7 linked regions of the Rattus norvegicus genome follow. The protein of the gene in region 6 interacts with the protein of the main gene of each other region in a pairwise test. Links are inferred from orthologs where the notes say so. Each region holds a gene or a part of one and is shown on either strand. Other genes may lie near its edges. The genes, in order: Egfl7, Adamtsl4, Trip6, Fbln1, Fam221a, Hoxa1 and Spry1.

Region 1 (3,418 bases), on a different chromosome or scaffold from region 6:
CTCTACCATTAAGGAGTCTGGGGTCTTGCCAGCCCAGTAGCCCAGGCTACAGGACCAGGGGAGCTGGGGGAAGACCAATGGGAAGCAGAGGCTGAAGAGTGGACAGAAGGCCGCAGCCTCCCACTTACCAAGCATCATCATAGCCTGCTCCCGTGCTGGCCTGGCTCTCCCTGGGGCCTGGAATCAGGAAGCCCCTTCTGGCATAGGCCTTAAACCCAGGACCCTATGTAATTTCCCATCTCGAGCCTGTGCCTCCAGAATCCAGCAAGAGGGCTGACCCACAAGACCACGAGGCACCTAGGAATGGGCAACGCATTACCCAAGGCCCACCCCATCATGCAGGACAAACATTCAGGAACCAGGCAGTGGCCTGTATCAGGCCATCATGAAGAGGAGGAACTTGGTCTTCCAGTCTCAAGGAAGCCGGTTCACATAGCACCAGAGGGCAGAGCCTGCCACCCCCACCGTCTGACGGCCTCAGTCACAAATCACTGCTGTACTTTGGTTCTTTTTTTTATAAATGAACTCAGAAGTGCCTAGAGACCAGAGGGTGGTAAGAGTTCTTCCCAAGTCCCCATCCAGGGATGAAGGGTGGGAAAGATGGTGTGTGAATCGATCCCTGGGGCTGCGGTGTCTGAGCTCCCTCCTCCCTAACTGCCTGCAGGTGAGCTGTGATCAGCCAGCATTGCTTTGCTCAGTGAATGCAGGGTCCACAGAACTGAAGGGTGTGCAGACCACGGGCTTGGCAGCATCAGCATAGGCTGAAGAGAGCCTCAGGACTGCCCACTGCAGCTCCTACATGGCAGTAGTACAGTGTGTACACAGTCCGACTCACCCAGTGACAGCAGCTCAAGTCCCAGCTTTAATATGACAAAGGTGGAGACAGCCCCCACCTCACTTCTTAGGCAGGGAGATCTTATTCCTTTCCCGGAAGCCTCACTTAAGAGCCACACAAGACCCCCCTCCCCATGCCCAGGGCCTAGGAACCTCCTAAGAGAGAGGGATAAACAAGCAGGGCCTTCTGCTCACAGGCACCACCGGACAGCACTTGAACTCAGGCTAGAAGGGACGTAGGGGTAACAGCTCAATCCAACATGGGCACTGAGAAGCCATCACAGGTCTTTTTTGCAAGAGCCTAGGGAAGGAGAGGAAAGAGGGTATAAACTTTCAGATCTGCCCATCCCAGTGGTGGTGCCGTCCACCCAGCCCTGGTATCCCCCTAATGGGTTCCTTAGGATCTGGGGGACTCACAGGACCCCAGCTGTTCCTCCAGGAAGGAGACCTGCTCGCTCAGTGAGTCAATCCGGTCCAGCTGCTGGAAGGAGTGGGCCAGCAGGCTGCCAGGATCTTGCAGCCCATGCTCCGGGGACCGAGAGGCCAGGCTGTGCAGTGGGGCCAGCACCAGCTGCAGTTTCTGTTTGAAAGGAAGGTTGCAAAAAGCCTAGTGACCTCTTTGACCTCTGTTCCCTGGGAACGTAAGGAAGACTAGTAAGGGCATGTGTGAGAAGTAAGGCTTCTTTCTACTGGGCTGTAGCAGCAGGGCCCTGCTTGCAATAGAGGGACCCCAGCGTCTAGTAGACACAGGTGATTAACAGATCCACAATCTAGCTACAAAGACCTGGGACCCCAGAGATGAACTAGGAGAGTCTTGGGGTCTGTGGCTTGAGACTTACCAGAGTCCTTGTATAGCAATCTAAGTGGGCCCTAGACTAAGGAATCCCATACAGTGCTACCTAGCACAGTAAGAAAGCCAGCATCCGGGGTTGGGGATTTAGCTCAGTAGTAGAGCACTTGACTAGCAAGCGCAAGGCCCTGGGTTCAGTCCCCAGCTCCGAAAAAAAAGAAAAGAAAATGGAAAAAAAAAAACCAGCATCCTTACGACCTTTTCCCCATAAAACTCCCAGCCCCCCATGATTTGGAACCACAGCTCCAGAGACTGGGGACTGGGGACACCAGCAAGACCCACTCCCAGCCAAGCCTCACCTGTTCTAATACATCAACCCGGGCCTGCAGCTTGTACACCTCCTCTCTCACCACGCTGTCCACTCCTGGGGGCAGATCCAGGCGCTAGTCAGAGAGGGGGATTTCCTGTCCCACAGAGGCCTGAGTCCTCGGCCACAGCTGTGGAAGCAGAGTCTGGAGATGCAAAGCCTCTCTGGCCACCCTGAGTGCCAACAATGGTCCTTACCCAGGTCCGATGCACTCCCGGTGCTGCGCTGTTGACCACGCATTATTACTCACGGTACGAGTTTGAAGTGTCACAGCGCGTACCAAAAGTAATAATGTGCTGTCACCGGCAAAGACACGGCTCCAGGCTGCCAGAGTCAGGGTGGGGCTCTTTTTTCATTCAGTTGGTCGAGGTGAGGCTCCCAGCTATGCCTTCCGCCCCACAATACCTTCCGGAAACCTCTTCAGGGGAAAGCAGCCCCTCCCACCCAGGTGAGGAACCTCCCCCCACCAGTCCAGGATATCTGGAATCAGCCCTCAGCATAGTGCTGGCCTCCACCCAGGGCTAGCTGCCCTCTGTAGCTTCCATGCTCAGCTCAACCACACAACAGTGCTCACTATCCAGGCCAGTCACCGCAGGTCGGAAAGACAAGTTTACCTGGCGTGGGACTTGGTGCCACCGGGGAGGGCCCCTCCTTAGGCAGGCAGAGCACCCCATCTGCAGATGGGCTCTGCCCCTCCCAACACTGGCACCAGTAACTTCCCACAGTATTGACACAGCGCTGGGGACACCTGGCCTCTCCTGTACTGCATTCATCAACATCTGTAAGAAACGAAGGTGTCACTCTACAGAAGCCAAGGTCCTGACCACAGAGCCCTGTTCAGATCCACCTATCGGTGAGAACCTGCTTCAGCCGGCAGTAACCTAGGATACACAAGACACCAAGAAGACCCTTCAAGAAGAGTGAGGCTTACCTATCTGGCAAGTATCTCCCTGCCATCCCACAGGGCAGCGGCAGCGGCCTGGGCGGATGCAACTCCCTTCATTCCCACACGGTGGCTGGCATATTGCTGTGGGTAGGAGAGGCCTGTCTGTCACCCATTCAGGGGAGTTCCCAGAACCCTGCGGCATCCAGGGAAGGGTTGCCCTGCAGCAAGGATGCATGGCTTGAGGGGTAGAAGGCAGCAGGGATACTGCTGGGCAGTGGGAAGTGAAGTTCATATCAGGCACAGTGCACACTGCCCCTTACCTGCTCCACAAGCTCCAGGGAGCCCGTTGGTCCTCTTCCAACCAGGGCAGCAGGCATAGCGAGGCCTGCTGGGAGTCAGCCCCGGGCTATGGCGATAGGCAATCCGGTAGGCAGTCCGGTAGATGGTTCTGTGGTGCGTAAGTATAGTTCAGAGAAGTCCAATGTGGAGTGACCCTAGCCAAGCCTTCCTTGGAAAGCATGCACCCTGCCTATATCATCTG
Region 2 (4,125 bases), on a different chromosome or scaffold from region 6:
CCAGCTCCTCAGCAAGCAGGAGTCCCTTGTCACTCGCCAGACCCCTTCCAGCAATCCGGTCCCTGAGCTTGCTTGAGCCCTCCCCACCCCCACCCGGGTGTGTGTGTGTGTGTGTGTGTGTGTGTGTGTGTGTGTGTTTTGAAACAGTGTTTCTCTGTGTAACAGTTCTGAATGTCCCGGAACTCTGTTCTGTAGACAGTGCTGGCCTCAAACTCACAGGCAGCCACCTGCCTCTGCTTGGATTACAGGTGTGCACCACTACCCCCAGCTCCTTCCCTGCCCTAAGTATCAGAGATAGAGCCGTTCCTCTCACTGCTACCCGTTTCTTACCTGCCCAGCCAAAGCTCCATGCTCTTCCTGTGACTGCCCCTGGGCTGGGGAGAAGGGACAGGGTAGCTACTCTGGCATCAGGGATGGAGGGTGCTCTGAGGAGGGAGGAGCATGGTGTTACCCCTGCAGATATCTGGGGGACTGAAGGGCTGTCTCAGCACAACACCCACAGTCTGGAGGGGTGGGGGAGGAGTGGTCCACCCCTTTAGGACCTAAGGGTGGAAGCAAAGGATCTTTGTCTTTGTCATCTGCTGAGGAGAGGGTGGGGGTCTGACCTCAGCCTCTCAGTTCAGTTGAGTCTCCTCCCTGTGGCCCAAGATGGACTTATCTCCTCTGGAAGCCGGAAGAGGGCCTGTGTGCAGGCAGCTTGGACCTAGAGGTTCTTTCTCCTAATACTCCAGGTCCTAGAGGAGACAGGCTATGCCAGGCACCCATGAGGGGCCAGCCAGAGGCCTCTTAGTACCAGGGGTAGGGGCACAAGCCATAATCCCACACTTGGGAGGGGGGAGTAGGAGGAGCAGGAGTTCAAGGCAAACCTGAGTGACATGGGACCTCTAGCTAAAAAAATTGAAAATCAACCTCCTCCCCCTAACAAAACCCAAGAGCATTTGTTTCTTACCCCTCTTACTCTCTTACTCTCTTACCCGCCCCAGTCTTTCTTTTCTTCCCCTTTTAACTAAGCTCCTTATGGAGGAACAGTGTCATACAGCTTTTTTTTTTTTTTTTTTTTTTTTTTTGTCCAAGGGATAAACTAAGTGCTAATAGCTTCATCTCTTGAGAAGAGGCAGTGACTTATTCTCCCAATGGGTGCCAGCATCCACAAGGCATTGGCTCAGGGTGACTTAGCTCATGTACTAGTTTTCTGCTTTTTTTTTTTTTCTCTTACAATGCTCAGCCAAAATGGCTGGGGCACCTAAGGAGAGATGCAGCCTTCATAGCAGCCCATGCGTCTGAGGCTCTCCTTCAGGTATACCTGGAAAGTCCACCCTTAAGTCTAGCTGTAAACACTGGGTAGTGGGGGGCTTCTATACCTGTCCTCAAACCATGTCTCTCCCTACCCCCAGCCCCAGCCCCTTCCTTCTCGCTGAGGCCCTGCCTACTCACAGCCCTCACCCCATCTTAGTTCTGCTTTCCAGGAAAAACACTGTTTCTGCTGGATCTGAATGGCACCATGAGAAGAATCCAAGGATTGCTGGCCAAAGTAGGCCAGCTCAGGGCATGCAAAGGTCAGAGAGGAGGCACAGCTAGGTTCCACTCCCCCTCCCTGGGACCCCAGGACATGAGAATTTGAGGAGGGGATCCAATTGGCTGAGCTGAGTTCTTGGGGCTGTGGAGGAGGTAAAATGCACTCCTCTCCTTCTTCCCCTAGCTGGGCAGCCACAGAGTCCACCACTTCCCTGATGGAAGAGACCCACCCATCAGCCCTATGCCTGCCTTGGGAGGCTGGACGGAAGGAAAAAAAGGGGTGATGAACACAACCTGTCTCTTGTCCGATGCGGGTCCCCTCTCCACCTCCCTCTGCTCCTCTCTTCTCCCCCAGGTCTGTCCCTGCTGCCTCTCCGTGGTCTACCCAGTACACATAATCCTGTCCTGAGCTGGTTTTGGCAGCTCTCTGGAGAAGTGAGGGGGGGGGGGGGGGACGAGAGCTCCTGGGGCTGGGGCCAGGCCTGGCTCCCTCTCTGGAAAAGTCCACCCCACCCTCCCCCGCCTAGGGGGGCAAGAGCTGACACCCCCTCCCAGCACAAATGTATGCTGGTTGTCCCGTTTTCATGCCCAGGGTGAGAAAGACAGAGGTCGGAGATGGGCAGGGTGGACCCTGAGGTTGGAGATGAGCAGGGTGGACCTAGGCTGAATACAAACCTATGTTGCTCCTGGTCACACCCCCTCTGGGCCAGTGACACCAAGGGAAGTGACCTGAAGGGAGCTAACCTTTTCACCCCAGGTTCACCTGGGGGGGGGGGGGAATGAGCCAATGCGGGGTTGGGGGAGGAGTATGGAGTTAGTAAGGGCTGGGCTAGCAGAGGAAAGATGTTGTCCTGTCAGAAGGCCTGGGTTTTCACGGGATCTCCACCACCACCACCCTGCAAACCATCCCAACAGGTGTCCTTTCCCTCAACCTCTCACAACAGGCTGAGCTGTGCAAAGCTCACTCACCCGCATCCCTCCTGGACACACTATCCCTGCGATCCCAGAGTGCAGGCGTCGGGGCGCATCCTCCCGAAGCCCCTCAGGGAAGAGCCGGCTGCGCCAGCGCGTAGGGAGGTCCCGGTTATGTTTTCCAACTTCACTATGTGACTTAATAGGAATCTTGGCGCAAGCCCTCGCCCGGGTGATGGGACCTGGAGTCCCAGAGACCAGACCCCCTCCCCAGGAATTCGCCTCAGGGTCTACTGTTCTAAGACAGTCAGAGCCCAGGCGGGGGTCAGGGAGGCTCTACCTTCTCTGCGCCCGCTCTCTCCAGCTGCCTCCGGTGGCCACCGCGGCCCGGAGCCCCGGGACAGCGCCGCCCGCGGCAGGCTCCACCCCACGCCACCCGTGCCCCGCCCGCCACGCGCTGGCCTCAACCACCCATCCCGGGCGCCCGGGACAGCTAAAGATCATGCAGTCACACTGCAGGCACCATTCCCGCGCCCACCCGGGGGCTCGGGACCCCACCGACTCTGGAAGGGCAGCCTTTGGGTGGAGCCTGTCCTCGAAGAACCTGAGCTAGCAGCGGACCCGGAGCAAGGGGATTTGCAAACTGGACCCTTGTGGTCCTGCGCAAGCTCAGATCCGCCCAAGCCAAGGCTCTCTCCTCCACGCAGCCAATGCCATCGCCTCCGCTTTTCCCATACTGGGCAGTGAACCATGTGGCTCTGATGGCCCAGGACGTCTGTGAGCCTCGGTTTCTTCATCCATAAAATTTTACACCCTGGAGCTTAGCGGAAGGAATGCACGCTGCATTATGAGTCAGACAAATTTGGATTTGAATTTCAGCTTGAGCACATGCCAGCTCTGTGGTCTTTCATGAGCGCTTCGACGTCAGTGCGGCAGTGTCGTCTGTAGAATGGGAGAATCTGATGTGTGTGCTAGATGTTTATCCATCTCCCTGTGGAAGAATGACTGAGGAGGGGTGGAGAAGGGATGAAATCGGCTTTCGGTTTTTATTCTATTCACATTCTATTTATACGTCTTTTTTTTTTTTTAAGATTGTTTGTTTTTCTTTGAGGCAGGGTCTCAGTAGCTCTGTCTGACTTGAACTGTGTAGAACAGGCTGGCCTTCCACTCACGGAGATCCGCCAGCCATTGCTTTCTGCAGTGTTGGGATTAAAGGCCTGCCTGTGCCACGCCTGTCCAACCTGGTCTACAGGGTGAATTCCAGCCAAGGCTGGGGCAGGGGGAAGTGGGGAGAACATATAGGGCATAGTATTGCACGTTTTATAATCTTAGCACTTGGGAGGCTGAGGCAGGAGAGGAGGACTACTGCAAGTTCAAGGGCAGCCTGGGAAACCCAGCAAGTTCTAGGGCAAGCTGGGCTACAAAGTGAGATCATCTCGGTTTCAACAACAATGAAGTACCCGAGCAAGGGTTGAGAGAGAGCTCAGCCACTGAAGGCCAGGCTCACCACCAATGTCCAAACACTCAACACACAAGTTCTGGCAACATTGTCTTGCAACCCGTAAAACAAGAGGCCCCTGGTGCACCAGACTAAGGTTTCTTGGATATATCTTGTACTTTGTTTAAATTCTTAAGGCTCCAAGTCTAGTTTGAAGAGATCCTGCCAGTGGAAATGGCCACTTTGGAGTTAAGGTGTTA
Region 3 (4,021 bases), on a different chromosome or scaffold from region 6:
TTCCTTAGCTATAAATACCTAAGAGTTTCAGGCCAGCCTGGGACACACGACGTATTATCTCAAAACGACAAACAGGCAATCCAAGAAACAAAACGCAAAGTGTTCTTTTGGTTGATGGATCAATCGATCTTCGGAAACCTGTGCCTTGGGCTGGCTTCCAACCCGCTTCCGTAGCCCATGTTCTCCTCCAGACAGGCCTGAGCCACCATACTTAGTTCATTGTACCTCAGCTTGAATCTCCAGCTTCCAGGCCCACCCAGCTGAGTACCTGGCCCTCTCTTGGATAGAAACCTGCCTGTCAAATCTTGACACTCCCAATTTGGCAACACCCTCTCACAGCCCAACCGCTCACCACATAGCAGCTCTCACAATACGCCCGCCTCTCCACGGCATAGAAGTGCTGGCCTCGGAGCTGGGCCCGACAGGTAGAACACACGAAGCAACCAGTATGGAAGACACGGTCCAGGGCCACAACCCCAGCTCCATCACCAACCACATCGTCGCCACAGCCACCACACCGACCTGGGGACAGAGGGGAACAAGATCAGTCTCCACAGACCCAGGACACCGGATCCACTGTCCCCTCCCCGTCCCATCCTACCCAGCGGGTCAGCTCACCAAAGTACTCCCCACTGGGCGGGTGGTTCATGTCATGCACCAACTTCTTGGTCAGTCTCTCCAGCTCCTCCTCTGGAGGCTGGCTCAAGGGGCCCTACAGGGAGAAACAGGGCTTTGCAGTGCTGCTTCGACCTCACACACCGTAAGTAACCCACAAGCTCAGGAACCCTGAAATTTCCTCTGAGAATATCTCCCAGGCTGACAAGGGAAGGAAGCCCCTTCCCTTTGGACATCGTAATCCTTGACCTCTAAGTACCCTAAAACCACAACTGACTTATATTTATTTTTAAGAGCGTGTCTCATATGGCCTAGGCTGGCCTTGGACTCATTATGTAGCCAAATATCTTAATTTACTGATCCTCCTGCCTCTACCTCCCCCATGCTTTGTTTATACAGTGCTGGGTCTAGAACCTTGGGATTCCTACATAATAAAAAAGGACTCTACCGGGGTTGGGGATTTAGCTCAGTGGTAGAGCGCTTGCCTAGCAAACGCAAGGCCCTGGGTTTGGTCCCCAGCTCCGAAAAAAAGAAAAAAAAAAAAAAAAAAAAAAAAAAGGACTCTACCAACTCTCTACCAACTGAACTGCGTCTCCTAAAAACGGTATCTTAATCCCTCAGCCTCCACACCACCTAACCAACGGCCAGTTACCTACAATGACCAGGTACCACCGTGCCCACACCCCCTGGCTTACCTGAGGCTCATGCCCACCTCTTCTTCCTCCTCCTGCAGGGTTATGAACTCCAGCAGCTCCCTCCTTAACCCCTGGTCCTGGCTCTCGGTGGCTCCTATAGCCAGCTCCCCAGACTTCACCACGACCTGTCAGAGGAAAGTGGGGGCCTGGAAGAGGTCCAGAGGCCTGCGAAGCCCCCCGCCTGGGCAGTCCACAGCCTCTCACGGGTTGAGCCACCTTCACTTGAACAGGGAAAGCAGGACCAGCTGGAGTGCTCGCGGTAGCATAAGAGGCTGGAGTAGGTCCACCATAGGGAGATGCTGGGAGCATCGGGGCTGGAACAGCACCTCCGCTGGGTTTCAGGGAGCCTCCACGGTAAGCATGGGGTGGAGGAGCCTCAAAAGCCTGGGAAGACAAACAATGCACAAACAGTAAGGCCAGATCCAAGATCCATGCGCGCCAGGTGGAATCTCGGGAGCCATGACTTTTGTCAAGTTCCCATGGGTTAGGCCTAACAAGAAGGAAGTTCATGATTCCTTGAACCAGTTATTTATTAGTTGCAAAGAGGGTGGGCGGAGAGTGAAGAGGGCGGACTGAGGCTGAGAATCTACAAAAGAGAATCGGCTGACACAGGAGAGACAGAACACAGGAGATCACCTGTCTGTCTGGTCGCCTAGGTGCATGACTGCGACTCCCGTCCAGATCAGCCAGCATGCTGGTGAGCGAATCTATCTCAGCGTCCAGACTTCCAGGGTGGATGACTCCCCGGTCTGGAGGGAGCCCCTGAGACAGAGCCAAAACAGGAAGAACAAATACCGATCACAACCCCTACCTAGCCTTCTCTCACCTTGATCCTACCCTCACCTCCAATTCTCACCTGCAGGCGCTGGGCTGCTCCATGGGATCCCACCCAAGTAGGCCCCCGATCTTCCGGTACCCCCGGAGGCTGATAACATTGTTCAGGTGGGAGGGGGCAAAAGTTGACCCTGGGGTGAGGCTGGAGCGCTAAAGGGGGAGACGGGAGGTGAGAGCGGAGAAGGGTACCCTGGTTAAAGCCGCCTTTCTCAGGCAGCTCTCCTTCACGTACCTGGGAGTCTGGGGATGGACCAAGAGTTAGGGAAACTTGCACAAGAGCAAGGGACTCTGGCTTGGGGAAGGGACAGCAGGAAGCAGATAGGCAAGGAAGAAAAGGTTAAGGAAAGTGGCCAATGGCTCTTCTGCCACTCCCGGGTGTGGGAAAGGGGAACACTTACTTGCTCCATGGGCCGTTGGCGGACCCAGGGTTCCTCTGGGCAGCGCTCTCCCCTGAGGGACTCTGGAGGGCTCTGGCTGCTTCGGGGGAAGCCAGGTGGGCCCGGACATGGTCTGGAATAGGGTTGCTCCACTCCAGACAGAGGTCAGGACCCCCACAAGCCCAGCGGCCGGGCCCTTGAGCCCCTTCCCTCCCTTTCGGCCCCACGCCCCGTTTGGGACTCCAGCAAAGAAACTTTTTCTGGCTTTTTTTTTCTTCCCTTCCTCCCCAATTTTGGAGAGGACCACGCCCCCTGACGTCACCACATTCCTGGTGAGGGTCACGTGGTCCCCCAAGCCTTATTCTACGATTCTTCCTTTCTCTGGCCCCCTCCTGTTAAGTGAGGACCGCCCTCCTCCGGAGCCAAGCCTAGGGTGGGCTGCAGGCCTCTCCGAGAGGCTCTGGTCCAGCAATTCTCTCAGATCCCTGCCCCAGTCCTGCACGTGGCAGCCTCTTGGCCGGGACTCTGAAAGTCTCCACCCCCTCATAGATCTCTCCCTTCCCACCCGGCTCCCTCTCATCTACCCACCAGCAGTGCTCCACCAGCCCATAGTGTTTTGGTCTTTTATTTATGGTCAGTAGTTAGAAAAATAAAACAAAACACAAACATCACCACCCAAGGAAGTCGGGGAGAGGGAGGTGGTGCGTCTGTGGCCAGGATGGGGACACTGAGGTAGCCTAGAGTCACAGAAGAGACCAGCCCCTCTGGTCAAGGCACCAGTGAAGGAAGCGTAGGCAGACCAGGAACAGGGCCGCAATGTCCTCCCCTACAATGGGGCAGCCACCTAGAATTAGTGTACTATGTCCATTCGCCACCCAAAGGAGACCAGGGTCCCCTTAAAACATCATCAAAAGGGCAGGGCCCATTGGGGGCGGGGGAGGGCGTCCCTTGTTGAGAATGGGCCTGGGCCCTCTCTATCTATCCAACACTGTATGCACAGGCATCAGAGATCAGTACAGGTAACCGGAGTGACACCATGAATAAGAAGGGTGGGACCCAGATCACGGCTTAGGGTCTCCAGCAGTGCCAGGTATCTAGGGTAGCGGGCAGGATCAGCAGGAGGTCGAGGAAGATACAGGAAGGTAAGGGCTGTGGTGGGTCCCTCCTCTCCATCCCTTCCTTCTGGTCCCCCAGGGCCTCCTCCTGTGCCTCGTCCCTGCTGGGCACGCACCAGGGCATTGGCACTGCAAGCTAGAGCCTCTGCCTCTTCGTCTCCTCGACCACCATTCACAAAGTCCCCTTCCTCCTCCTCAGGCTCCCCAGCCTCAGCCCCTTCACCCCACACCACCTCTTGCACCTCTGCCCGGATCCTGAGTTGACTCAACAGGGCCCGGAGCCTTCCCTCTGCTGCCCCAGGAGCCTCTCTGGGCCCCAAGCACAGAAAGATCCGGAGCCGGGCACTGTGCCAGGCAGGCACCATGCTTAAGATGGTAGCCATCT
Region 4 (3,494 bases), on a different chromosome or scaffold from region 6:
TGGAGAGTGTGTAGTAGGCTGTTAGGAAGATCACAAAAGCTTGTTTACCCTTGTGAGGAAAGGTAGCTTTAGGGTACAAAGAAAGCCAGCCACCTCCATGGACACACTAGACACACCAGTTACCCCTATGGACATACCAGTCACCCCTATGAACCTGCTGGGACACAATAGTCACCCTATGGACACACTAGTCACTCCTATGGTCATACTGGGACACACCAGTCACCCCCATGGTCACACTGGGACACATCAGCCACATCCTTGAACATGAGGCCATATTAGCCACCCCCATGGACACACAAGGAAGGCTACACTAGCCACCCCCATAGATACACTGAGACACACCAGCTACCCCCAGAGACACACAGGGACACACCAGCCTCCCCCACAGCCATACCAGGCCACACACAAACCTTGCAGCTCACATCTTTACCGAAGGGCTTTCCTTTGAACAAAATTGCAATCCACTTTCTAGGTGCCCCCGAGGCATGCTTGTGAGCTGCTTCTGGGGAGAATTTATTGTATATTTATTTATGCACCGCTCTACAGCAGCCATCAGTTTGAAGCACACAGAGCCCAGTTGGTTTTTCTCATTCATATTCATATATATATATATATATATATATATATATATATATATATATATATATGTACCAAAATGTCACCCCTTAAGCAGACTCAGTGAGAAGGGCTACCTCTTGGCTCTTGGGTGGAGCGCTGCTTTGAAAACTCCTTCAATTGGTCCTTAGCATTGCCTAGCCCACAGGCAGGGAAAGAGAATAAAATTCGACCTTTGCATTAAAAAAAAAAAAAAAAAAAAAAAAAAAAAAGCAAGGATTTAACCACATGACTGAGCAATGTTTAAACAGCACAGTACGTCAGCTGGACTTAAGTGACGTGGCTCAGCTTAATGTATGTGGCCTTACAAACCAACATGAAACACCAAGGAACGCCCGAGGGGTACAGACAGGCACCTGGCAGTCACTGGGAGCAAGGGCGTGGCCAGGCGGAGGGGTACACTCCTGGCCGTGCTGCAAACCGGTCCTCAGAACCAGTACTCAGAGACAAAGATATGCACATTGACGACGTTCCGGTGGGAAACCACGCCTCCCAACACGTAGTTCATCTCCAGCTTCAGGACGGCATAAAATGGGCCCACGATGGGCCGCACTTGGCGCACGACACCTGGGGAGAGAGCAGAAGACATCCTGTTGGGTGTCAGCAGGCACGCAGCAACATGGGTATCCGGGAAAGGGGTTTCCTCGGGAATTTCGAGGCTACTGTGGTAGCCCGAGGCAGATGCTTGAATCACCAGGGTAACCATCTCCTTCCACCTGGTCACTCTGGGTTGTTTCCAGTCACTAGGGATAGGTGAGCTCACTACCTCCCTTCTGTCACACATAGCTTCAAATAGGAGGGAAGCAGCGAGTGTGGCTTTGGGGGTCGGCAGGTCTGGGGCAGCGCCAGCACCTGCCCTTGTGGGGAACTCCGGTTTCCTGTTTTACCATTTGTCTAATGGGGGTTCAAAGGCCCCAGAAAAGGCCTGAAATAGAATTGAGCCTTCTCTCCTTCCGTCCTTCCTTCTTAGACCCTAGACGGGGACCTTGGGAAGAAGAAAAGCAATAGTTTATTCCTGATTCCTGAGATCTTTGAAGACAAGGGTGGGTTCTCAACCTCCTTCTCCAGGAGAAGCAGTCCCAAGTCCCTATAAGACAGGCCCTTGGACCTCCTGCAGCATGTTATCTAGATTCTCCAGCATGCCATCTGCCCACATATCACCCATAGACTTCTCCCTAAGCAAACCTGTGTTTAACTTGGGAACCCAGCATTACAGACCTCCACAGGCAGTTAGCACCCCATTCTCATACCCATGATGGCCACAGCATTGCGACCATGTCCCTCCAAAGGCCTAGAAGCAAATATGGCTTCTGTCAAAGGCTCGTCACCCTTTGCCTGCCACTGGGCCCCTCCCTGGGCTGGGTCTGCCTGCCAGGTTGGATGGGGTCACAATGCTGGCTGGGCCCGTAAGATTCTCAAAGCTCCTTTGAATCCATACATGACACTTCTCCTCCCTGTAGGCCCGAAGCCCACAGGGTGTCTGTCTGCCAGCAACTGTGACATTAGCCACTGGAGAGCAAGGGTGTTCTTACCACTCTGCCCATGGCTAAAAAGTTGCTACTCATGCTATCGTGAGAGGCCAATGAACCTGTGATCTGCTACAGGACAGTGGTATGATAAATGTCTTCAAGCTCTGATCAGATCCCGCCTCCTCGCCACTAAGCAGTATTTCAATATAGTTTTTTTTTTTTTTTTTTGGTTCTTTTTTTCGGAGCTGGGGACCGAACCCAGGGCCTTGCGCTTCCTAGGTAAGCGCTCTACCACTGAGCTAAGTCCCCAGCCCCTCAATATAGTTTTATGGGGACAGGATAGATGGCTCAATGGTTAAGAGTGATACTGCTCTTGCAGAGGACCCAAACTTGATTCCTAGCACCCACACTGAGTGGCTCACAAACACTATATGACTCCAGCTCCATGGGATACAAAACCTCTTCTGATCTCCCATGCATATATACAAATAGAGATTTAATTTCTAAAATATAAATATTGTATTTTATATAACATATATTTCATTCAAATAGTGTATATATATATCACACACATACATATATATAATTGATTGTATATAATGACATATAAGATTTCAACATATAACATAGACATCGTAAAGCCTTATCTCTTTGTGGGAGTGGGTTTCAACCAGGGTCTCATGTAGCCCAGGCTGGCTTTAAACAAATTATGCATTAGATTATGACCTAACACTCTTGACCCTTGGACCCCGTTTTTGGGGATTATAGCTATGTATCACCATGCCTAACTTGCATAAAATGTAAATTGATAAGGGCCATGTTATAGTTTCATTCTGACATAGTATTTATATGTTGATCATACTGTCACACCTACAGGTTGCCATGCATGTCAATCTATTTTATTTGAGTGAGCATTCCTCCCCACAGGGTCCACAGTTCAGACACATAGCCACGGCAGGGCATGTGGTAGGTGCCTGACATTGAAATACATAAGAGTGGAGAGGGGGCTGGTGAGATGGCTCAGTGGGTAAGGCAACTGGCACACTAACCTGATAATCTGAGTGTGCGTGTGTGCGTGAGTGCGTGTGTGTGTGTGTGCGTGTGTGTGTGTGTAACATAAGGTTTTAAAAAAGAATGTAGAGAATGCAGTGGTAGTTGTAGAAGGCGGGTCTGGGTCAGAAAAGTAAGTGAAAATTCATGTGTGGGGCACAGGGATTGAGCTTGAGCGATGGCCGACCTGAGTCAGAGGAGTTACTTAACAGCTCTGAGTCTCAAATTCCTTTTCTGTGGACAGACATAAAACCCAGCAATTTCCAAAACCAGAAACCAAACAAACTGGGGGCCCAGGCCTGCAATCTCAGCCACTTGGAATGTGAGAACAGGAGGATGGAGTGTTCACTTTCCTGG
Region 5 (3,500 bases), about 2.9 Mb from region 6:
AAAAGAGAAAATATGTTAAAGTATTGTAATTTTGACAGATGAACACAAACAGGAAGGACGTCAAATATCAAAGTATACAATGAGAAATGGAGTACGTGTGCTACTAGCATACACATAACAAGCATGACAGAATATGACAGTGTCCCCAGTTATTTGAGAAAAAGATGCCAGTTGTATAACCAGCATCAATTTGCACAAAAACTTAATTATAGTATCTCACATGTTCACAAAAGTAAATCCCAACATCACAAAAAAAAAGAAATTATGTATTAAGATAAAGTGAAGACAGAGAAGTACATTTATAAAACAAAGTGTAAAAAGTGGAATCAAGGGGATTGTTGGGGGGGGGCGGTAATGGGGGATGGATGGGGAGGGGAACACCCTTAAGAAGGGAAGGGGGAGGGGTTAGGGGGCTGATGGACAGGAAACCAGGAAAGGGAATAACATTTGAAATGTAAATAAGAAATACCCAATTTAATAAAAATGGAAAAAATTTTTAAAAAATAGAAAAAAAATTTTTAAAAAGTGGAATAAAAACCTAGTTACAAGCTTTTTAAACATAATCTTAACATCGGGAGCTGGGAAGACAGGTCCTGAGAGAGAGGGCCTACTGCTCTTCCAAGAACCAGAGCTGTGTTCCCAGCTCCCACATCTGCCTGTAACTGCAGCGCCAGGGATCTAATGCCCTCTCCTAGCCCTACAAGGACCTGAACACCCAAATACACACAGAAACACAGGCACATAAATAAGAATAGAATAACACTTTTAGTGTTACAATAAAACTCTTAATAGCATAAAGGGGAAAATATCTGCAAAGTAAATAAAAGTATTAGTACACATAGCATTGTAAGGACTTGATGTAGGTCAATGAGAAAAGAGGGAGAAGAGAAGGAAAATGGGGAGGGGAGGAAGCAGGAGCGTTACAACAGCAAGCTGCACACAGTAAAGTAACAAGTAATTCTGTCTTATCAGACAAAAGCTCCATGCAGCTCCTCTCACCGACAGGGATGGGGACTCTGGGTAGGTATTGTCACAGAATAACCTTTTCTCATGTGTTCTGTCAGTTTTCTATAACAATATGTTATATAGTGCAACCAAGTTTTTAAAAGAAAAACCAAGTAAGGGAAATTTTTCTGAAAGAAAAATGACCCTAAAATGCTAAGTCAGTGTAAGTCTCTGTCACTGTTGGTGCGTCTCGTGCCAGGCTCACACGTCCTCACTTACCGATGCCACTGTCATCTAAGCGCATGTAGCCTTCTGCCAGTGAGCTGAAACCAGTTAAACCGCCCATTGCCGCATAAGGAACATCCTGTCCTACAGGTTTTCCCTGGGCCAGCCTCTCTTGCCTGGTTTCCACCACGGTGTCGTGGGCATATGCGGGCTGGCCACAGGCACAAGTGAAGCAGCTGTGGAATCCTGAACACTTGGAGCCTGAGTTAAGACACAAAGGGCACACGTTAAGAACAAGCGCTAAGCTGGGACACCACGCTGGGACATTTACCTTCTCCAGTCACTGTTATTCTTACAGAATGCTGAAGTAGTTAAGGGGTGAACACTGAAAGGGGGGAAGGTTTCAAAAACCAACTGGGCCCAAAAGACACTGCCTTAAAAACTGGAGTGACAGAAAACGCAGACTCTCTCCTCAAAAGCTATGTAATAAGCTGAGCACTGCGGTGAACTACTGTAAGCCAAGAACTCTGGAGGCTGAGACAGGAGGATTGTAACTCTCAGGCCAGGCCTGTATACATAGCAAAACCCTGACACTAAAAGAATAAACAAACAAACAAACAAACAAACAAACAAACTACTGGCTGAAGAGATGGCTCGGCAGGGTGAAAGCACACACTGTTCTTGCAGAAGACCTGAGTTCAGCAGCCATATGGTGGCTCACGACTGTCTGTAACTCCAATTTCAGGGGATCTGATGCCCTCTTCTGGCCTTTGCCAGCAGCAGGGTCATGTACACAGGCATATTTTTTAAACAGCCATATTGGAACAGAGACAGGAATGTATAACATAAATCTTTACCTTCTCTCACCACTTACACCTGTGGATGAGAACCGAAGCCCTAGGTTTTATACAACTAATTCCGTGCTTGTCGGATGAAACGGTTACTCCACTGCCGTCAGTAAACTGCTGCTCAGGTTGGGTTCCTTTTATGCAGACTACGTGTAGTAAGAAATGTTTCCACAGTCTATGGATTTGGAACTGCTACATGTAGAATTTGCTGTCTGAGAACCCACAGTCAGAAAATCCGAATTGTTTGTCAGGTTGTTGCAATTTTTTTTTTAAACTTACAAAATCCCTTTTATTAAAAGTCTGTAAAGAATTCACTTGGGACTGGGGGTGTGGCTCAGTGGGCTTGCCTAGCATTCGTGAGATGTTGGGATCCGTGCCCACCCAACATCAACCACCATAGCAAAAAAGGAACCAGGTTAATGAAACTCTCATTGAAACATTGTTATTTTTATAGATTCATTTACTTTACTTTCGTGTGTATGAGTGAGTGCCTAAATTATGATTGTGCACAACGTCTGTCCTATGAATGGTTGTAAGGTGTCATGTAGGTGCTAGAACTGAACCCAGGTCCTCTGTAAGAATAATAATTGTTCAATAATTGTTCTTTACTGCTGAGCCATCACTCCAGCTTGTTATTGAAAACTTTTTATCAGAGATGGGTCAATGGCTGAAAGCACTTATTGCTTTTCTACAAAGAACCCAGTACCCACCTGGCAGCTCACAACCATCTGTAACTCCAGTTCCGGGGTAACTTCTGGCCTCCACATGTACCAAGTACACATGTGGTACACAGACATACATGTAGACAAAAATACCCATAGGCATAAAATTAAATTAAAATAAATTTGAAAACCAACAAAAAAACAACTTTTGAGCCAGGTAGTAGTGGCTCATACCTTTAATCCCAGCAGCTCAGGAGGCACAGGCAGGTGGATCTCTGTGAGATCAAGTCCAGCCTGGTCTACAGAGTGAGTTCCAGGACAGCCAGGGCAACACAAAGGAACCCTGTCTCCAAAAAGCAAAATGAAAAAATAATAAAATAATAATAATCAGGTCGTGTCTAGTAATTCTTTAAAAATCTGTCCCTATTATAAATTATTTAAATTCTACAACACTGAACTTTAAACATTCCAAGAATTGAATATCCACCCATCGAATTTTGCTTTGTAGCTAAATACTGACTTTATAACTGGATAAACTGTCATAAAATCCATTAAGTATTAATAAAGAACTCGAAACACTGCAACTTCGTTTAAGAATGGAACGTACAGGCATTGCATGTGAAGCCAAGGGCAGGGCTGTGCTGATCAGCGAAGTGTTTGCACCTGCAGCGAATAGGCTGGGTGCCGTTCAGAGGGACATAGTGGTAAGCCTTGCACTGGCAACCGGTCACTCGGCAGGGCAGATCAATGGGACGCTGCTGGGGAACCGTTTCAAAGTCAGTTTTGTGCTGCTTATACCTTTAAAAGATTGAAACACAAA
Region 6 (3,929 bases):
TTTGAAAATGAACACTACCCTCCCTTCCCCACATGAAATGAGCCAATGTAAGCAGACACTGTAGCCCAGCCAAATACGCAAGATGCTTAGGCATACCTGAAACTTGAATATTTTATTACAGACATCTTAAGTAAGACCCGTAAACTCTGCTCTGGACCACGTCACTCCAGGATCTCAGAGCTGCTCATGATTGTACAGGAAATGGGGACTATCTTAGGCTCACAAAGGACAACTGATAGAACTCAGTGTGCTATTTCAGGGAGGTCAAAACATTGTGCGACATGCAGAAGACTATTCACGAACCACACAAAATATACATTCGTTGTGCCATACATCACATTAACAAACAATTAGCTGAAAATACACTTGTCTCCAGCCAAGATACAAGATACTGTGAAAAGAAAGGGTGGTTGAAAAGAATTCCTTTAGGTTACAAATAGTCCAGCATAACTTTTTTAAATGCAGGGTGGCCAGAGAAGCAGGAAGAATTGGTTAGAGTTTGGGAAGACTCGGCACAGGAAAGGTTCTGAACCTTGTGCTTTGTAGGCCTAAACTCTGAAAGAACCAACCAAGGCCACCTTCTGAAGTATCTGACTCAGAATGAGAGAGGTTTTCTCCTTTCACCCATAATCACACATGGCCTGTGCCAGTTTTGAGAATTTGTCCACCCTGTTTGATTTAGTGACTTACATATTTCTACGAAATGTGTATAAAGATAAATCTCTGAAGAGAAAGCATTCATACCCAGCAATCAAGGGGTGAATTGTGTAAACATGGAGCATCTCTTCCTCATGAGCCTTTGGACACCCTCCCTCCTCTATGTCCTACTTAAAGGCCAGGTGGAGCAGAACAATACATAGATACAAAGGCGAGACACCTCCCTTCTGCAGATATCTGTTGGCAAAGGGAACTGTTCTCCAACGGACAGTAAAGGAACCATAGGTTGTGTAAAAAAATCTCAAGACAGTAAAGAAAGGGCGTTGGGGACCATCAGAAATTGATGTGGGCACCTGGTATAGAATAAGGAGTTAACTTCCAACCAAGTCTCCAGAATTCTCTGGAAATATCTTATCTTAGCCAGGAGCTCCCCAGATGGGACCAGAAAGGAAGAGAGAGTCTGGAAAGAAAGGAAGATAAGCTAAGAATGTGCTTTGGGTAAGAAATCTCAGCCCAGGGAGAAGCCTGGGCTGCAGAGTTGGGCTGGGGCAGCCTCAGTGGGAGGTAGTCAGAGTATCTGAGGTAGATGATGCGGGAGAAGGGGCGCTGGGCGAGGAGCTGGATTTCTCAGATGATTCTTCAGTTTTCTCATCGCTTCCAGGAGGGGTGGCGGGTGAAATGGGCAAGAGCCCCTCTTTCTCGCGCTTCTTCTGCTTCATGCGGCGATTCTGGAACCAGATCTTCACCTGGGTCTCATTGAGTTGCAGGGACGCGGCTATCTCCACCCTGCGGGCTCTTGTTAGGTACTTGTTGAAGTGGAACTCCTTCTCCAGCTCTGTGAGCTGCTTGGTGGTGAAGTTGGTGCGCACTGCGTTGGGTTGACCCACGTAGCCATACTCTCCAACTTTCCCTAGGGTAGAGGAGGAAGAGAGAAAAGATAAACATTCTTAAACCTTTACCCCAAACTTGAGGCAATATTCAGTAAACTGCTCAGCGCAAACCCTATCAGGAAGCGCCAGTGACTAACGATGTTGTAAGTAAAGTGTTAACCTGAAGTCAGCCATTAGCGTGATCAGGCTCGTGATTAATGGAGCCTGTAGATATTAACAGGACACCACTACCACCTCCCACCCCAACACACACACACACACACACACACACACACACACACACACACACACACACCATCTACCTTTAGACCACTTAAACCTCAGCCCCTTTGAAACTCCTTTGCCTCAACACACCTGGGCACCCTACACCACCCACTACAACTCTAGACGACATTAGACATAAGCAAGAACCTATCTTTTAAAATCATTAATTTTCCTAGGAAACTAGGTGCACCGGCCCCTTTCAAAAACTGAACAGCATTTGTTTGCCAGCTGGCAGGACTTACCTGTTTTGGGAGGGTTTCTTTTAACTTTCATCCAGTCAAAGGTCTGCGCTGGAGAAGACGTCTCTGAAGCAGGGGAACGACAGGCTTCTTGGTGGCTGGCGTGGAGAGGGGATAAGGAGTTATTATACGTGGCCAGGGCCAGACTCTGGTGCTCTTGTCCATATGAGTGGTGAATGTACTGGGGCGAGCCCACTGTGCCCCCAGCATAACCCTGGTGGTGGTGGTGATGCTGGACCATGGGAGACGAGAGGTTTCCAGAGTAAACAGCGGGAGCGCACGGGGGGTACCCACCACTTACGTCTGCTTCCTGATTTAATCCATAGGGGCCATAAGGCGCACTGAAGTTCTGCGCGCCATAGCTTGGACCACAACTCGAGTGGGAATAAGAAACCCCAAGGTTCCCAGAAGTCTGGTAAGTAGCCGGCTGGGGATGGTGATGGTGGTGGTGGTGGTGATGGGGCGAGGTGATCTGCACCCCCCTGCCCCCTAGGAAGCGGTCGTCGCCGCCGCAGCTGTTGGCACTGACCGCGCAGGATTGGAAAGTTGTAATTCCATGGTCAGAGGAGTAAACTCGCGCCGAGCAGGTCCCAGAATCGCCACTGCCAAGGATGGGGTATTCCAGAAAGGAGTTCATTCTTGCATTGTCCATCTGTCACTGAGTGACTGGGTCCTGCGAAGCCCTGGGTGACCGTGCCAACTTTCTCACTTCCTCCATAGGACCAGAGAAGAAAAATGATATGAATGTACAGTGCGCAAGAGGCGGGGCGGGCAGGCGGAGGGCTCGAGGGGAAGGACACGTGACTCTGTCAGCCAATGGCTGAGCCGCCTGCGAAAGTTTACCGGCGGCGGCGGTGATGGATCACCGTTTCAGTGGCATTTAAATCCCCGGCGCTCCTCAGTGTAGGTGACGCGCGCTCGCCCCCCCAGGCAGCCCGGGCCGCGGCGGTAGCTACGGCCGCTGCCGGAGCTGACTTGGAGCATTGGGACTAAAGGGAGCCGAGACTGACTTCTGCGCGCGCCCGGCTCTGCGCGCCTCCGCCTCCAGAAGTGGGGGGGATGGGAGGCACCCTCCGCGGCCCCTTCCCCACCCAGCCGAGAGAACTGAACAGGCAAGAGGTGAGAGGGGATGAGGCCTCCCGGCTGTCTTGTGGCCGGCATCTTGTGGGCTGAAAATCTCTGCGTGGTCGCAAGGACCCTGGCGGAGCTGGGAGCACACGGGGTGGGAAGGGTGGGAATCCAACAAACACCACGCCCTCAGCTCGGGGACTGCCGCCAGGATCCAGCCCCAGCAGAGTCCCGAATCGCGGCGCCTAGGGCGAGGTTGCGTCACTGGCTCGCCAGCCTCGGAATGTAGAGGGACGTGCGCAGACGATTGACTGGGAGGAACCCGGGTGAATGTGTTGGGGACCAGAGCAAGAAAAGAAACTTCTATCCTCATCCAGAGGGTCTCAGAGCCCTCTTCCCTGATTCCTGCTGGCCAATGGCATAGCAATGGGAGCTTCAGTAATTCGACCCCGGGGCCGTAGGGGGCGGAGGGGGTCGGCCCTAGGAACCTAGCTCTCTGGGAAAGGCCGAGTGTTCTCTCTCTCTCTCTCTCTCTCTCTCTCTCTCTCTCTCTCTCTCTCTCTCTCTCCCCCTCCCTCCCTCCTCCTTCCCTTCTCCTTCTCAGTCAGCTTTGCTCGTGGTAGCCTGCAAGATTCGGAGCAACTCTGCTGCTGGAGTTTGAGGGGTAGAAGGCAGAGGAGAGAGTTGGCGCCAGCAGACGTGGCTGGCGTGGCCGAGCCTGAGCTGCAGGCCATCTGCCGACTCTTTGAGACTCAGAAGCTTGTTCACTCTTAATATAGGCCTCAGAGGGCCAGATCACAGTCAACTCCTA
Region 7 (4,274 bases), on a different chromosome or scaffold from region 6:
CACACACACACACACACACACACACACACACACACAGAGAGAGAGAGAGAGAGAGAGAGAGAGAGAGAGAGAGATCTACTGCAGAAACTTCCTTAGGCTGCTACATCTACAAGATAGAAAAGCCCCACCAACTTTACACTTGAAAACATGTCCTTAACACATCCCCTTCCATGAAGGGTGAACAGGCAGCTTCTTGGCTTTTACTACATTTTGTTGCCTTCTAGTGCACTTTCTTGCGGCTGCTGTTCTGTGTAGGGAGTGCCTGGGTTCCTTGCATGTAATCCCACGCATAATTGTGAACACTAAAAAACATTCAAAAGCTTGGAAATGCAGTATGCCAATGGTCATAAAAATGTTTATCAAAATCCACTGCAATTGTTAAGACTTTAAAAAATTACTTTGAACCCAAACTATCCAAACTCCCGTTCACAGGTGATTTAGATCATGGAGTTCTGTTGTTGATCAAATACTGTTCCTGATAAAAATTCCCTGGAAAATTATTTTCCACTAACAATTTTTGAGGCCTTAGGTTATCTTTAAGATAAGCTTCGTGGAACTTTTAATTTCACATACATTCCTTTTCACTGCATCCTGAGCTATATCGTCCCCAGAATACATGTCCAAATTCCTTAGTTTGTAAAGAAGCGAAAAGCATTCCCTGGCTTACTAAAGTCCCCCACCCCGTGACAGACATGTGACAAAAGTTAAAACTTCCTGATGAGTTATGCTTATTTTACTAGATTAAAAATGTATTGGTGTTTTTGACAAAATTATACAAACATTACAAAACAGGAAGGAATTGGGTTCCCCCTCCCCCATGTAATTTTAGGGATCAAATCACAAACTAAATGAAGCAATCACTAAAACCCCACAGCAGGAATTTCCACTCTTCAGTGTGTAATTATATTGCATTTGCAGAAGTGACTGTCCTTTCTGGAACTTTCATATTTCGCATGATCTGTACTTCACACATTTTCCCTCTGTCTGGGGGCACGGTGGCATGGTGTACACGTTTTTTCCGTTGTTGTTGCTGTTTGCTTGTTTTTGCTTTTTAAATGTTCTTCACAACTCTTTTTAACTCAATTCTAAGGGTGAATCCACCAGTCCCCTTAAATCGGAGGCTGACAGCTCAAGACTGACAGGGCCCCTGAAACACCGGGTACTCCCCTGTTGCGCTTGCAGGATTTCTGCAGGCAATCAACTTTTTAAGAGCGTCCTCGAGTCCACATCCACGATCGCTAAAATCCTGCTCCGGGTTTTCGCGCAGCCCGCGTGATTGACACATGATATCACCGGGGGCGGGTCCCGGCGTGGAGGTGGAGGTGGCGGCGACGCTGAAATGCTGCGGAGCCCGCGCGCGAGTGCTCAGCACGCAGGGGTTTGCGGCGGCCCCGCAGCCAGAGCTCTGCGGGCTGAGGAGCTGCTGTGGGCGGCGTGCATGTGCCGGGAAGGCCGGCCCCAGGCTCTGCACTAGGTAAGAGCCTTCCCCTCCCGCCGAGGACCTGGCGAGATCAGGTGAGAATGGTGCTTTATTTTATTTTATTTTCTTGGAACTGGACGTTTTCTGAGCTGGCTCTAGCTCTGTGCCCGGCGCTCTACGGTCGGCCCTGAAGCGAGTTCCGTAGCCGGGCAGCGAGTTCCGTGTGTGCGAACGCGGGCTGGCACCGCCGCGCACCCGCGTGTCTGTGCGCATTGTTGGCGACCGACCCGCCGGGCGCTCGTGCCAGACCTGACTTTCCCCGTCCCTGCGTGCGGGCTTGCCTCTCGCAGACGCGTCGTTGGGACGCGCTTTTGACTGCGGGGCGTTCCGTGGGGGCAAAACGTGCACGGCCGCGTGTGTCCGGAGCTCGTGGCTGTCTACCACGGCGAGCAGGACAGCGTCCCGGGCTGGCGAGGGACTCACGTGTTTCTGTCTCTGCTCGTCTGCAGCCGGCGTGGCGACTGCGGGGACGCGGACCTGCGGGAACCCGAGAGCCCGGGACGACGCCGGGCCGCGCGCCTGACGACCGGGACGGGACGGTGCTGTGGAGCGGGCGCCGCGCGCACCCGGCGGATGTCCCCGAGCCGCCCTCGGCCGCCGCCAACCGCGGAGAAGCGCCCCTGCCCGGGGGCCGCTGAGGCCGCAGCGCGGGCCATGCGCGCCCGGCCGCCCCGCCGCGCTTGATGCGGCGCGCGCTTCGCCCGCTCCGCGCCCCCGGCCGGCGCCGTGGAGGCCGAGGTGAGTGCGGGCGGCAGGTGCGGGCCGGGGCGGGCCGGGCGGTCCTGGCGGTCTTCGCGCAGCCCGTGCCAAGCGCGCGGCACCCGATGGCGCTGGGGATCCAGCGCCCGCCTGTGCTCGGAGCGCAGTGCCGCGGGACGCGGGGAGAGGGCGCTGCCTCCTCCCGCCCGCGAGCTGTTTTCATTCATAACTTTCCCCCGCCGGACCTGCCGCGGCTGGGTGCCCCTGAGGTCTCGGCTTGGGGCCCAAGCGCCGGGCGGTGCTACCCACAGTGCTGTCCGCGCGCGCGCTCCGGCTTAGCTCTGGGCGGTTGCGGGGCGCCTAAGTGCTCCGCCTGAGCGAACTTGCTTGGGAATGCCCTGTAAAAATGCGAATGAAAGCTGTGCCTAGGGGTTTCATAGCTCAAACAAGCCGTTCCCACGTCTTCCTTTCTTGTGGATGAGGCTTGGCACATTTAAAGTCTTCGTTATGGAGTTTTAAATTTTTAAAAAATAGATAAGGCACAGAACGATGGGCAGGTTTCCGGTATCGTTTAGGAGTTCGGCACTAAAACTTGCTATGGATGTGTTTCTCGTGTGCAGAGAAGGTAGTTATAAGCTAGAGGGGCCTCCAAAAAGCTAACACATTTGTAGTCTAGGGGCATTTGTTAGTAAAGTGACTTATTCCTTAAGACTTTTTGTTTTGTTTTTGTTTTCCTTTGGATACCAGGAAAGTGCAGAGGGTTCCTTCTTGAATTAAGGTGCATCAATCTATCTGTAAGTTCGGAAGGCATTTGTGTGAAAAATATTCCAGAAACCTATCGCCCAGAAACGGAAAGAATTTGGTCTTTTTTTAGGAAGAATACGTTATAAGTAGGGAGTTATTTCTTCTTGACATGGAAACGTGTTTGTTGTATCAGTGTATCAGTATTTATTTTACTACAAAAAGCCGGTCTGTTCAGGGCTTATGAAAATCAAGGCCTGTCATGCAGGTAAATGAAAGGAAATACATATATTGTAAAAAAGACCAGGGTTCCTCTCCCCGCTTTAAAGGGCTGACACTGTGCATAACTTACCCTTGTTGTGTGGCGGGTGAGCCTTTAACGCCACACCGTAAGGGTTGCGTACGTGTGCCAGAGCATTCCTCGTTCTTTGTAGCTTCTTTTGCCCATCTCACAGATGTGTGTGGTGAGCTAGCCTCAGACCCTGACTTCTGCTGAAAGTGACCTTTGGAGATTCCGAGTGAGCTTGGAGCAGCCAGTGTTTTGGAAATTGGCCTTGATTAATTTTCTCATTAATCTGAAGCTCGTAACAGCATATAAACGGCCAAGAGGCCACAGCACTAAAACCATTCTTAATCTTCTAAAAAGTAGCTGACATTTTCCCTACGTGAACTGCCAGTGAACTGATCGTGAACTCTGAGAACAGTTCCAGAGCGCACACTGAGTGCTGCCTTCGAAGGCATATTTCATCTTAATTATTTGTTAGGTTTGCAAACAGGAAGACATGACTTCCTCTGCTTTTCAGAAGCTGGAGAGCAACTTCTAATTTTTAAGGCATGAGGTCTTTGCTTTCTTCCTGTGATACGGTCCTCTACAATCTTTTCTGGGAGTTGGACTCTGGCCAGGATTCTGCATCATTGGAATCAGCCGACGAAGGAGATCTTTACCATGTGGCTTGGGAAATTTGTTTCTTGACAGAAGCCCTTTCCCCCTCCCCCCCCAAAAAAACCGCTTTCTGCCGCTTATTTTCTCTTTCACTCTTCTTTAGGATTTCAGATGCATGGCAGATTTCCGCTGACTGCTGGAATTGGAGATCACTCCACATGGATTCCCCAAGTCAGCATGACAGCCACACTTCACTAGTGGTGATTCAGCCACCGGCTGTGGAAGGCCGGCAGAGGTTAGACTATGACAGGGACACCCAGCCTGCCACGATTCTGTCCCTAGACCAGATCAAAGCCATCAGAGGCAGCAATGAATACACAGAGGGACCTTCGGTAGCGAGAAGACCGGCTCCTCGAACTGCACCAAGACCCGAAAAGCAGGAAAGGACTCATGAAATCATACCAGCCAATG

The links.
Region 1: the proteins of Hoxa1 (region 6) and Egfl7 interact in binary tests that used the Homo sapiens proteins (3 or more experiments, as listed by UniProt). The link is inferred for Rattus norvegicus from reciprocal best matches to the Homo sapiens genes HOXA1 and EGFL7.
Region 2: the proteins of Hoxa1 (region 6) and Adamtsl4 interact in binary tests that used the Homo sapiens proteins (3 or more experiments, as listed by UniProt). The two-hybrid records come from large-scale screens. The link is inferred for Rattus norvegicus from reciprocal best matches to the Homo sapiens genes HOXA1 and ADAMTSL4.
Region 3: the proteins of Hoxa1 (region 6) and Trip6 interact in a two-hybrid assay, tested with the Homo sapiens proteins (2 studies listed by BioGRID and IntAct). The two-hybrid records come from large-scale screens. The link is inferred for Rattus norvegicus from reciprocal best matches to the Homo sapiens genes HOXA1 and TRIP6.
Region 4: the proteins of Hoxa1 (region 6) and Fbln1 interact in binary tests that used the Homo sapiens proteins (3 or more experiments, as listed by UniProt). The link is inferred for Rattus norvegicus from reciprocal best matches to the Homo sapiens genes HOXA1 and FBLN1.
Region 5: the proteins of Hoxa1 (region 6) and Fam221a interact in binary tests that used the Homo sapiens proteins (3 or more experiments, as listed by UniProt). The link is inferred for Rattus norvegicus from reciprocal best matches to the Homo sapiens genes HOXA1 and FAM221A.
Region 7: the proteins of Hoxa1 (region 6) and Spry1 interact in binary tests that used the Homo sapiens proteins (3 or more experiments, as listed by UniProt). The two-hybrid records come from large-scale screens. The link is inferred for Rattus norvegicus from reciprocal best matches to the Homo sapiens genes HOXA1 and SPRY1.

Annotation. Positions count from the first base shown.
Region 1 is NC_086021.1:29,812,049-29,815,466, reverse strand, and holds the end of Egfl7 (epidermal growth factor-like protein 7 precursor), read right to left. Parts: intron 3,326-3,418; coding exon 3,198-3,325; intron 3,096-3,197; exon of another isoform or gene 3,019-3,095; coding exon 2,923-3,018; intron 2,771-2,922; coding exon 2,606-2,770; intron 2,318-2,605; exon of another isoform or gene 2,200-2,317; intron 2,049-2,199; coding exon 1,984-2,048; intron 1,415-1,983; coding exon 1,252-1,414; intron 1,136-1,251; coding exon 1,113-1,135; 3' UTR 501-1,112; downstream 1-500. Other genes in the region: Agpat2 (1-acyl-sn-glycerol-3-phosphate acyltransferase beta precursor), read left to right, coding at 1-40. UniProt on the Homo sapiens protein: Regulates vascular tubulogenesis in vivo. Inhibits platelet-derived growth factor (PDGF)-BB-induced smooth muscle cell migration and promotes endothelial cell adhesion to the extracellular matrix and angiogenesis.
Region 2 is NC_086020.1:185,932,997-185,937,121, forward strand, and holds the start of Adamtsl4 (ADAMTS-like protein 4 precursor), read right to left. Parts: upstream 2,801-4,125; 5' UTR 2,485-2,800; intron 1,917-2,484; exon of another isoform or gene 1,810-1,916; intron 1,711-1,809; exon of another isoform or gene 606-1,710; intron 543-605; 5' UTR 351-542; coding exon 331-350; intron 1-330. UniProt on the Homo sapiens protein: Positive regulation of apoptosis. May facilitate FBN1 microfibril biogenesis.
Region 3 is NC_086030.1:25,021,738-25,025,758, reverse strand, and holds the start of Trip6 (thyroid receptor-interacting protein 6), read right to left. Parts: upstream 2,801-4,021; 5' UTR 2,652-2,800; coding exon 2,543-2,651; intron 2,295-2,542; coding exon 2,167-2,294; intron 2,073-2,166; coding exon 1,947-2,072; intron 1,695-1,946; coding exon 1,311-1,694; intron 713-1,310; coding exon 619-712; intron 523-618; coding exon 353-522; intron 1-352. Other genes in the region: Slc12a9 (solute carrier family 12 member 9), read right to left, coding at 3,525-4,021. UniProt on the Homo sapiens protein: Relays signals from the cell surface to the nucleus to weaken adherens junction and promote actin cytoskeleton reorganization and cell invasiveness. Involved in lysophosphatidic acid-induced cell adhesion and migration.
Region 4 is NC_086025.1:118,266,972-118,270,465, reverse strand, and holds the end of Fbln1 (fibulin-1 precursor), read right to left. Parts: intron 2,230-3,494; exon of another isoform or gene 1,431-2,229; intron 1,372-1,430; exon of another isoform or gene 1,186-1,371; coding exon 1,046-1,185; 3' UTR 501-1,045; downstream 1-500. UniProt on the Homo sapiens protein: Incorporated into fibronectin-containing matrix fibers. May play a role in cell adhesion and migration along protein fibers within the extracellular matrix (ECM).
Region 5 is NC_086022.1:79,674,743-79,678,242, reverse strand, and holds part of Fam221a (protein FAM221A), read right to left. Parts: intron 3,479-3,500; coding exon 3,288-3,478; intron 1,432-3,287; coding exon 1,225-1,431; intron 1-1,224.
Region 6 is NC_086022.1:82,586,410-82,590,338, forward strand, and holds Hoxa1 (homeobox protein Hox-A1), read right to left. Parts: upstream 2,801-3,929; 5' UTR 2,703-2,800; coding exon 2,054-2,702; intron 1,568-2,053; coding exon 1,212-1,567; 3' UTR 96-1,211; downstream 1-95. UniProt on the Homo sapiens protein: Sequence-specific transcription factor. Regulates multiple developmental processes including brainstem, inner and outer ear, abducens nerve and cardiovascular development and morphogenesis as well as cognition and behavior.
Region 7 is NC_086020.1:122,483,985-122,488,258, forward strand, and holds the start of Spry1 (protein sprouty homolog 1), read left to right. Parts: upstream 1-1,474; 5' UTR 1,475-1,515; intron 1,516-1,929; 5' UTR 1,930-2,218; intron 2,219-3,966; coding exon of another isoform or gene 3,967-4,021; coding exon 4,022-4,274. UniProt on the Homo sapiens protein: Inhibits fibroblast growth factor (FGF)-induced retinal lens fiber differentiation, probably by inhibiting FGF-mediated phosphorylation of ERK1/2. Inhibits TGFB-induced epithelial-to-mesenchymal transition in lens epithelial cells.